Arabidopsis thaliana: one gene and its partner. The protein of the gene in region 2 interacts with the protein of the main gene of each other region in a pairwise test. Each region holds a gene or a part of one and is shown on either strand. Other genes may lie near its edges.

Region 1 (5,924 bases), about 15 Mb from region 2:
TAATCTTGACTAGAGTATTCAGAGAGATATTTCGTTTGTGTGTGTTCGTGTGGTTGAGGTGTAATGTTTCTTGATATATATAAGTAGTGCCCATTTACTTTTGGTAACATATATAGCTCTATATTACAAAAACTATTGAATAACTTCAATTTTTCGACTCCAAAATCGTCGGATGAATGTAGATGCACGAGATATTGCAAATCTCGTTGGTACGGTCATATTTATTTATCATAACCAACTGGTTAGATTCTAATGAGATTGGGCAAGTTTGGTTAAGGCCCAATTGCTCACATTCCAAATTTAACTCTACTGGGCTCTTAATTTATCTGTATAAGGCCCTGTAATATTTTCTTGCCGTCATCAACTAGTTAGTAGTAGAGAAGCAATCAAATTATACGAGTATTTGACATTGAAAAGAAGATTAAAAAAAATCTTTCAGACTGAAATATATAGCAAGGAAGATAGAAAGCTAGTGCAGGTACATAAGTCAAAAGTCACAACATATAGTAAGTACATCATAAGTTCATTTCTCTTGAAAACGATCTCTAGTGATGATGCACTTTTTAGGTATTTATTCACATCCGAGAGTTTTCTAAATCACAACATTGAAACGTGTTCATGAATTTAAATCAAAACAAACCTGCTCATGAATTTGGGGATGATCGTTATAAGCAACGCTCTTCAAAAGCTTTCGATGGGTTTTTACCATCGATATGCGAATGATGGGGGAAATCAAACGGCATTTCTTCGGGAGAGAGCCAAGCTTCTCTAAAAACTCTCGAGACTTCATCAAAAACTACCCCATTGCCTTCAGGCGTGAGATGGAGCCCATCACTGCTTATAGCCAACAACAACGAGCAAGAACCATTTATAAACAACAAACATGATTGAGGAGGAGATGAGTGTTTGTGAAAAACCAACAACATTTCAGATCAGACTTAGATACAGACCTTAGGTACTTTTTCTGCCAATCATTGGTTTCCTGCATCTTAGACCATAAGTTGACACATCGCAGACCGAGTTCCTCGGCCAATGCAACACAATGTTGTGCATATACCCCTGTTGTTTCGTTTGTTCTCTCAGGCTCTTTCATAGCTTTCTCACCGTAGATTGATCTGATGTAACACAATCACTGGCTCATTTAAGAAACATGTCGGACTAAATGCTTTGAGAAACAAAAATGCAAAGAAGAAAAGGATCATAATAAAGCCTACTCTGCATAACTTTGACGTCCAGCTTCATCAATTGGTGGTGGAGTTATAAGCACAATTAGCATTGTAGGTGAACATTTCTACAAAACAGAGTCATTAGTCTTTAAAGGAATCACACTTCAAGAAAAGTAAGTCCATGCATTAGAGTGGATCAAAGAAGCATATCAAAACCTTCAAATGCTGAACAATCTTTCTGACATTATCTGTGTACTCTTCCACCGGCACATGTTGTCTATCACTGGTTCTTCCTTTGAGAGCTGCATCGTTTGCACCGAAGAATATCGTCGTAGCAACAGGAGGAGACGAAGAGCCCTAGGCAAAAAGACAGAGTAGAACACATACTGAGATAGGCACACCAAAACAACACGCACTACAAGAAGAGTTCTCATGATATATGCAGATGTAATTGCCTTTTACCATCTCAAAATTCAAATCTAAATCTTTCGTACTTCAACCAATCCATGACAATGTCATAAAACCAACACATCCTAGAATCATATCAAAACCATTCAGAACTGAACCATAACAAGCATAAGCAAAACAAAAAATGATGCACAAGAGACAATAACTCAAGATCTATATCCACACAGATCATACACACAATCACAACAGCTCATGAACAAAATCATCCCAATGACTACCAAAATTCGTTCGTGTTTAGATCAAATTTCAAATCAACATTTGTAGACTCGAGGGAGGGAGAGAGAGATAAAAAGTACTGACGAGAGGGAAGATGTGATGAAGCAAGAAGAGAGCCCATCGGGTGTTGTAGCCGCCGTAGCCTCGAACCACAACATCAGCCTTGCGAGAGTAAGCGTCGGCAAGAGCAGATCCCCAACCGCCGGACCTAAAAGACTGCGCCGTGATCGAGTCGCCGAACAGAACTATCTCCGGCCTCATCTCGCTGTCTCCCTCCGGTTCACTGAGTAAACCGTTAACTGTATTAGGAAACTTAAAGTCTCTTCTGGGCCAAATCATATGGGCCGGGCCTTTAGTATTAATTTGTTATATTTTTGGTGAATGAAAAGGTGGTAATCTAAAGAGGTTTTACTAATTGTAGATTAAGGATGCGTGTAATGTTTTAGTATTAGTTTATGATTTCTTGATTTCACATTTTTCTGTCTTGAGCTTAAGTCAAAACCTCAAAGTGAACTTCTACGTAGATGAAGTATTGAAGTGTAGAAGTTAAATGCGTGAACTTCCACAATTCAACTACAAACACACTTTTACCAAAAAAAACTACAAACACACACAAATAATTTAAAAATAAAAAAAGAATTCTACAAGTTATTGAATATCGGTTTGGGTCGGTTAAATCTTGCATCCCATTCCAAATTTTCTGGTTTGTTCTTCGTTTTGACTAAACTTGAACCGATTGGTTTGACTTTATTTCGGTTTTTTGTTTTAACTTATTTAATAATAAAAATCCACCGAACTATTATTTATATAAAATATAAAATAAAGATTTTGAAAGCAAATTGACAAAATCTTAAAGATATGCAAAATCTCTCGATTTCATTCATATTTTTTCCCTCTTTTATTTCTTTCTTTCTTTCTTTCTACTTATATAAATGGCCCAACCACTGCCACCATGGTTTCACATCATATCTTTCTCTTCCTTTTTCTTCCAAATCCTCCAACATTCGTTGATCAATGGCTGAAGTTATGCTACCGAGGAAGATGGAGATTCTCAACCATTCTTCAAAGTTTGGATCACCGGATCCTCTTCATGTTCTTGCCGTCGACGACAGTCACGTTGATCGTAAATTCATCGAGCGTTTGCTCAGAGTATCTTCTTGCAAAGGTAATTATTACTCATATTTTGAAAAATCAGTCTCTGAATTCGGGCAAGTTATCTGAGTAAAAAGCTCTGTTTTGGTTGTTCAGTTACTGTTGTTGATAGTGCAACAAGAGCTCTCCAATACCTTGGTTTGGATGTTGAGGAAAAATCAGTCGGTTTTGAGGTATAAAACAATTTCCAAGAGAAAACAAAATTTTGCCGTAGCTCTCAAGCAATATGTTAAATCGTGATTTGTGCTTCAGGATTTGAAGGTTAATTTAATTATGACTGATTACTCAATGCCCGGTATGACTGGATATGAACTCTTGAAGAAGATCAAAGTAAGCAAACAAACATATAATGATATAATTAGTCAATGGAATTTGAGTTTTATGTTTATCTAATCCTTTTTTACGTGATTTTCCACAGGAATCCTCAGCTTTTAGAGAAGTACCGGTGGTAATTATGTCCTCCGAGAACATTTTGCCTCGTATTGATAGGTATAAAACTTCATCATAATCTTAAGTCAAACTATAGTAAATTTGGTGAATATCTTTGTCTTAGATGATCAAAAAAAGAATTAGATAAAACAAAAAGGGATTAGATCACAAAGTAAAGTTCCTGCTCATATGGTTAAAAGTTAATTTCCTTAAACCATTTTTGGTGGTGGATATTGCATAATTAAACAAATGTTGAGATTTGGTGATCTTTAATGGGTCCCAAGATGATTTTGTGTATAAAGATGTTTCTAACCAGCAAAATCTTTACTTTGGGATTTGATTCTATTTCTGGTGATGTGATATTACAATAAAATAAGTACATGATCTTGCTTGCCTAATATTTGGTAGGGTATTGTGAAAGCCACCTCACATGCTTTTTCACTTTGCATACAATATTAGGAAACCTCTAGACCAAATAAAATAAAAAGGAATATGTATTTGTGTTACACACAATGGCCAACTCAATTACGAACTGGCCATTTTATGATTGTTTGCTACATATACAACAAAAAAAAAACTTATTGATCCAAAGCTATCATCAACTTTATTGAAATTGGAGTTTACTCAAACTGATTTTCTTGTGATTATTATTTTGTCATTCAGATGTCTTGAAGAAGGGGCTGAAGATTTCTTACTGAAGCCGGTAAAACTCTCGGATGTAAAAAGATTAAGAGATTCTCTAATGAAGGTTGAAGATTTGTCTTTCACAAAGAGTATTCAGAAGAGAGAGCTAGAAACAGAGAATGTCTACCCTGTTCACTCGCAGCTCAAACGCGCAAAGATCTGAGCTCTCCGATGCAAATTCCGTGACTGGATCTTAGAAAAAGCCTTTTCATATACAGAAGCTTCAAGACTCAATGCACTTGAGCCTACACTGATGATTCTCGCCAGCTTAATGACCTATACAATTTTCCAACCCCTATGGCCTTTTTCGCTGATTGAATTCAGTGGGTTTATTCATATAGTAGTAATGTAAATGGTATAGAGATGAGCAAAAGCTATATTATATATTATATTCATTAGAGGGGTCATAGCTTTTTTCCTTACAAGAGATTTGTAAGCTGGCTTAATAGAAGTTGTTAAGAAGCCTCACTTTATGTGAATAAATGATTTTGTTAGCTAATCATAAACAATCAGAAGTTTCCTAAAAGAATTTGAAGTAATGAGAGTTGATCTCTGGTGAATGGTGATTCTAAAAAACAAGCTTTGGTTCATGAGTAACTTGTCAAGAGGATTCACCATAGCAACAAAATAACTCTTAAACCTTCAATAATGTTTGACAAGGAATAAATGCAGACCAAACATATGGAATTAGAAAAGAGAACATAGCATTCATTATTGAAACTATCTAAATGTATTTGAATCATTTTCTGTACCACCTTTTATGTATTCACACATCACATTCTACATCATCACCACAGTGTTTCAGACTTAGAACCATAGATGACATAGAAAACAGAGCTTAAGTTCTCGAGTTCCAAAAGACAACATGGTTGAGAAAACCGCACCTCTCCTTTTAAAACTTGCAAAACATGCTAGACGAACGAGCCAACCGAATTGTTAGACCACCACCTTGAATACTAGTCTCAGCCTTGACCATATTCCGTTCATAGGGTTTCCTGCAGCCTGGACAACGCCCATCTCCATCGCAAATGGTCTTGTGGCAGAACAGACAGAGCCGAAATCCACAAGGACAGGGGAGGAAATTCGAATCCGTCAAGTCCAAGTCTTCGTAGCATATGGGACATGAAGACGGAATCGCCACAGAGCTAAAACGCTTGTCTAACTCCGGAAAACTAAGCTGCTTCGCCAAATTAGGTAACCCCTGTGGGCGAAGGTCATCATCTAGCCTCCAAGCTCTATTACTAGTCTGCTTCCTTGATGACACTCTCAAGCATTCCTGCTTTGGATCTTCAACACCCACAACATCTGATGCATCACTAATCGACGAATCACACACATTAGAAGCTGATTGTCCAACACTCACTTGCTCTTTCACAGACTCAAGAGGACGACTCTTTTTCTCAATCTCTTCCTCAGCCGCTAACGCATCAGCAACAGCTTCCCAATCATCCACACACCCATCATCATCATCGTCTACATTTTCCTCTTCTGTTATATTACCAGAGCAAAAGCCACTGCTGCTACTACTACTCCTGCTACTTCTCCCACTGAAGTTAGTGCTCGAATATGTACCACCAACAGAGCTATTTGAAGGTGACTCCATAAAACTCTCATGATGAAGAAGATTATTCCCACCATTGTTATCCTCTTCTCTACGCACCTTATCTGAACTCTCATGATGAGGCTTTTGACTACGATTAACACTCCTCTCCTCTTTAACTTCCTTATTGCTCACCGCAACTAATATCAAAATCAAAAACCCAAAATCAATACATAGACAACCAAATCTAACCAAACGAATCAGGCAGA
Region 2 (4,950 bases):
AAAACCATAATAATGGGATTTTTTATAACATACATGTATTGTTTTTTGTAGAATTTATAAAATACATACTTAAAAACAAATACTATATCTTAAAAACAATTGGAACCAAATAAACCCAAACAAAATGTTTAAAATTATGTTTTTATAAATAAGCAAATGACAAATCAGAAATATTTTAGCAAAACTGACAAATTCTACAAATGCCACTAAAAAGGAGGACTTTTTCCTAATTGATCAAAATCCTTATATACATCAATCAATAATGCACTGAAATAAAATAGAATCAATAATTTATAAGGTGGCTAGCTCCTATAGTCCAATCCTAAAGCGACCTAGAAAGTCAAAACAGTGAATCCATATTCAAAACAATAGTAGGCATTTAATGAGAAAGGATGTCAGATGACTTCGCTCATCAAATTTTGGGACTACAAGACCTAACAACGACCAATCTATATATTCTAATTTCAATTAAAATTATCTGGAATTAACTTAGAGAGCATACAGAAACAATTTTTATAGTCAAAACATATCTGTGAGATGGTGTGTTTATTAGTATATATCATAAAGTAATCATACAAGAGACAGAAGATCATACTAATACATAAGTACATATAAGTTTTGACCTTTAAAATATAATTTGATTCATATACAAATCATTGATCATCTACAAAATGTTCCTAAAACCTCAACCATAATCGCATGGAAATAAATGATTATTATATGATCTAAATTCTAACAAAGTGATATTTAAAGATGCCTCCACTAATAAATCATAAAGCATGGTCACATAATACACACGAGCCCTAAGTGTATCAACTATCAAGAATAATCATCGAATCATCTTTCAAATGTTAAAATTGAAAACAAAAGAAAACTCCAAGAACATAATGGATCAAACACTTTATCGTAAATAATCGTAGTTTTTCTTATTCATAAACAACTAGTACAGAAACAAAAGCATCAGTAGATAATGTAAAAGAAGGTTTTACATTAATATCTTAGAGAAAGCAAATAAGAGACAATACATATAGAAAAGGGGAAATTATATAAATATGATCATACTGTTGCACCCGAGTAATTAGCCATCATAGACTGACCTTGTTGTGGCTGCTGTTGCTGTTGCTGAAGCTGTAGAGGCGGCTGCGTTTGCGGTTTCTGCCTGTTGACTCTCTTCCTCTTCTTCTCATAGCTAACACCTCGAGCTTTGGCTTGAAAGTCTCTGACTTCACGGAGGAATAACCTGACGGCGCGTGAGCCAAATGGGTTAGCTTCAGGTGGGCCACCGTTCTCCTCGTAGGCGGCGCGGAGGCGGCCGATAAGAGCGTCGAGTGAGCCCCAAGCTTGCCGGAGAGGACAAGGACAAGGAGCAGGAGGGTTAGGGAGGCCAAAGAAGGCACAGTTCTGGTGGTGAACTTTTGTTTTCCCGAACTGGTCAAGGTAGCGGAGGAACTCGAGCACGTGTGCGCCGCTACACGAGGGGAGAGAGAGCGGAGGACGGTGGTTCCGGAGGTATTGACAGAAAGTGTTCCAGTCACGGCGTTTTTGGTTCTCGTACCGGCTTGAGGAAGGTGGTGTTAGTTGTGTTGAGGAATTAGGGTTCTTGTTTGGTTGGTGAGAGATCAAATCCATGGCTTTTTCTTGTTCTTGATTTTGGAAAAAGCAGCCGGTGAAGCCAAAGCAGATGTCTAGCCGGAGAGAAGAGGATAGTTGAAGAAGATTGAATCTTGATTTAGGGTTTTGTTTTTCTTCTTTAATTTTATATGGATCAAAGAGAGATTAGGGTTCTTTTTTTGTAGATCTTGAGCTAAGATCAATAATTGCAGCAAATGGAGAAAAAGTGAGAAAGAGAGAGAAACTTAGCTGGTTGTGATGATGAGATTGATACTATAAAAGGTATAGATTCATCTTTTTCAGATCAAATCTAACAAACACTTGTGAGCAGAAATGGTGAGGCAAAGAGAGAGAGAGAAGTGAAGTTTATTTGATGCTTATAGAAGATTATAGAAGGGGAGATATATAAGTGGAAGAGATCTTTTTTTCCTTTTTATTGTTTTCTAGCTTTTCTACTTTGGGAGATGATAGAGAGACAATACACAAAAACACACTTGTCAAGACTCAAGAGTGTATAGTAGCTCCAAGAGAGGAGAGAGAGAAGAGAAGAGGACTAAGTGTTTACACATCGTAGAAAAGAGTAACTTCATAGATGAAGAGAGAGAGAAAAGAGAGTGTGACCAATGGTTAAAGTGGGGAACTTGAAGTTGAACATTGACATGACATGAGGAGGGAAGAGTCTGTGTTCTTTGTCTGCAATTTGCAGCGACATTTTTCATTTTTTTTTTATTATAAATATTGATTACTTTCTTTTTCGCATTATTCTTTTATTTTTTGTGGTTAAGGGATTGCATTATTCTTGTTTTCTTACTTCACTTTAATTTTTACTTTGAAAACGACCTGATTAACATATAAATATCTTCTCTTTTTTCCGGCAATCATGGGTTTATATAACTAGGAATACACTACTTTTAAACACAAACGTTTCTTGTGATAAACGGTGGATTATCACAAAACCTCTTTATTGACTATAGGCTTTCAAGTTTTATAAATTAACATGTGTTCAGTATTTAGTATATATTGATGCGTTAGTGTCCGTGCCCCATAAATTAAATTCGTTCTCAGAGACGATTTTATTTACTATAAGTATACGGCTTTGTCTCAATGGTAAAGGCTGCCAATTGAGCAGCATGTAGACATCGTGTTGATTTTGGCAATAACTCCGACTATACTTTTAGCACCAAACTATTTTTAGCATCGAGAGTAAACAAATATTTCACGAAGAATAAATTTTAAATAACTCTATTCTCTTTTTGTCAAAAACATGCATCACAACCCTCGTTAAAAAAAACTGTATAGGTCTAGCGATTAGTCAAAAAAATTGAATTAAAATCGGGTTATTTTAGATTTATTTTAATGTTTTAAAACTTATTAATCCAATATTGTTTTCAAAATTATAGTAAATACATAAAACTATATTTTTAAGACAAAATTTCTGTTTTTTATTTAAATTTTGAACTTAAGTTGTTGTAAAACATTAGAAATTTTCAAACTAAATGATTAATTAGCAAAAAAGAAATTTTTTTTATACTTGCAATCTAAAAGTAATTAGGATATTCAAGATTAGGCGAAAATTAATCAAAAAAAATTGGATTAAGCAAAAATTAATAAAATAACTGATTTTTAAAGGATTAGTTATTATTCGAGGTAGAAAGGGTGGACCTAGCAATTAAACAGGGATTAATCGGATTAGGCTGGGATTTTTAAAAAAGGGATCACAACTATTGTAAGGTAATGCCTTAATGGTAACAGAACGACGATATTATCACAAGTCATATACATTTGTCTAATAAAAACCATTTATTTGAACATTACTAACTGAAATCTTCAAACAATTGCTATTAAAAATTTTAAAAAACTCTTGCGTTGGATAATTAATATTTAGCATCTTTATAACCAACTCTTTCGTTATTGGTTTTTATCAGCGACAAATCGTTAGTCTACAATTTTTTTTGATCGCAAGTGTTTGCCTCTTTTCTAAGATCTCATTTTGTACACATGTTTGTATAACCTTATCTCTTTTTTTCCATACTATGATCACTAAGAATAAAGTATAATCCGGCTTGCCTCTTGATAGAAGCAGCTTGGATAATTTATCTTTAACTACGAAAGCAGTTTGACGTTTCCAAAATTTTAAGAGGGCTAGGGAATTTCAAACTTTTTCGAAATTCTTATCTCTTCAGTTTATATAATTGAAAATTTTAAAGTAAATTTTGGATGAAATTCATGTTTAGTCAGGTTTCTAAATATAATATATATATATATATATATATTTATATCAAATTTATGAATTTGTTCTCTCATATTTATTTTTTCTTTTTTGGGTATATATATGTTCAAGTTAGATTATTTCTTATATTTTCTGTTGATTTTTCCGGTGTGTTCGAAATAACGATAAAACGTAGGATAAGTGATTCGTCTACTAGGTGAAAAACCGAAAAAAAACTCGTTGTGATGTTTGATCGCCTTCTAGAAGAAAAAATGCGATCATAGCATGGTCAAGACAACACATAGAAGGATAAAAATAGGTTTTTCTCTTGATGAATCTCGACGCTTTAGTCATGATGAATATTGTGGTAAAAAAATGTGTTTGAAGAATGTATGGGTGAAAGATAGTGGTACAACTATCTTTTGCACATATTTCTACTGATATAAAGTAAAGATAGAAGGATAATAGCATAGTGACAATGTAGAAAATGCATTATTTGATTGGGATTACATAGAATCCAATTTGTTTGAATATAATTTGTTAAGTTTGATGAATTTACAATTCAAATTCAATGGATAGTTAGTGAACTAGTTAACGGGAAAAACGGCCAAAATCAATCTGTACTATTTGATGGCGGTCTTTTTCAACTCAAACTTTGATTAACGATTGACTAACACTGTCAAAGTCAATGTTGAATTTTGCGTAACATATATAAATTTAGATTTAAAATTAGAATTTAACAATAATTCGGATAGAAAAAGACAAGGGATCGAAATTTGGGTTGGAAAAGGCCACCAGCAAATAATACATGTTGATTTTGGCCGTTTTCCCCTCGTTAATGTTTCTTATATATATAGTATTATTAGTTTTTTCTAAATTTTGATGCGAGATAATTTTATTATAGGATAAGTTTCAATCTAATTTTAGATTGAACTGATTTCACTTGGGATAGGTTTGCATATGTTTGAATTCTGATATCATATTAAATTTTGTGAACATATAATTTTATTTTTTGTATTGTTTTTTCTTCTTCTTATAATCAGGGGTGATCCGGGCTTTTATCACCCGACTAATCCTCCAAAGTGAATGTAACCATTGGCTAGCCCACTTACCACGTTTTTTAATGTGCT

Evidence for each region.
Region 1: the proteins of LSH1 (region 2) and ARR6 interact in a two-hybrid assay, tested with the Arabidopsis thaliana proteins (one large-scale study listed by BioGRID).

Annotation. Positions count from the first base shown.
Region 1 is NC_003076.8:25,251,099-25,257,022, reverse strand, and holds ARR6 (response regulator 6), read left to right. Parts: upstream 1-2,704; 5' UTR 2,705-2,864; coding exon 2,865-3,015; intron 3,016-3,098; coding exon 3,099-3,175; intron 3,176-3,254; coding exon 3,255-3,332; intron 3,333-3,420; coding exon 3,421-3,491; intron 3,492-4,094; coding exon 4,095-4,278; 3' UTR 4,279-5,007; downstream 5,008-5,924. Other genes in the region: AT5G62930 (SGNH hydrolase-type esterase superfamily protein), read right to left, coding at 666-834, 951-1,115, 1,215-1,291, 1,383-1,523, 1,935-2,189; AT5G62910 (RING/U-box superfamily protein), read right to left, coding at 5,008-5,855. UniProt on the Arabidopsis thaliana protein: Functions as a response regulator involved in His-to-Asp phosphorelay signal transduction system. Phosphorylation of the Asp residue in the receiver domain activates the ability of the protein to promote the transcription of target genes.
Region 2 is NC_003076.8:10,453,485-10,458,434, forward strand, and holds LSH1 (LIGHT-DEPENDENT SHORT HYPOCOTYLS-like protein (DUF640)), read right to left. Parts: upstream 2,198-4,950; 5' UTR 1,630-2,197; coding exon 1,057-1,629; 3' UTR 904-1,056; downstream 1-903. Other genes in the region: AT5G28491 (uncharacterized protein), read right to left, coding at 2,198-2,323. UniProt on the Arabidopsis thaliana protein: Probable transcription regulator that acts as a developmental regulator by promoting cell growth in response to continuous red (cR), far-red (cFR) and blue (cB) light in a phytochrome-dependent manner, at least during seedling development.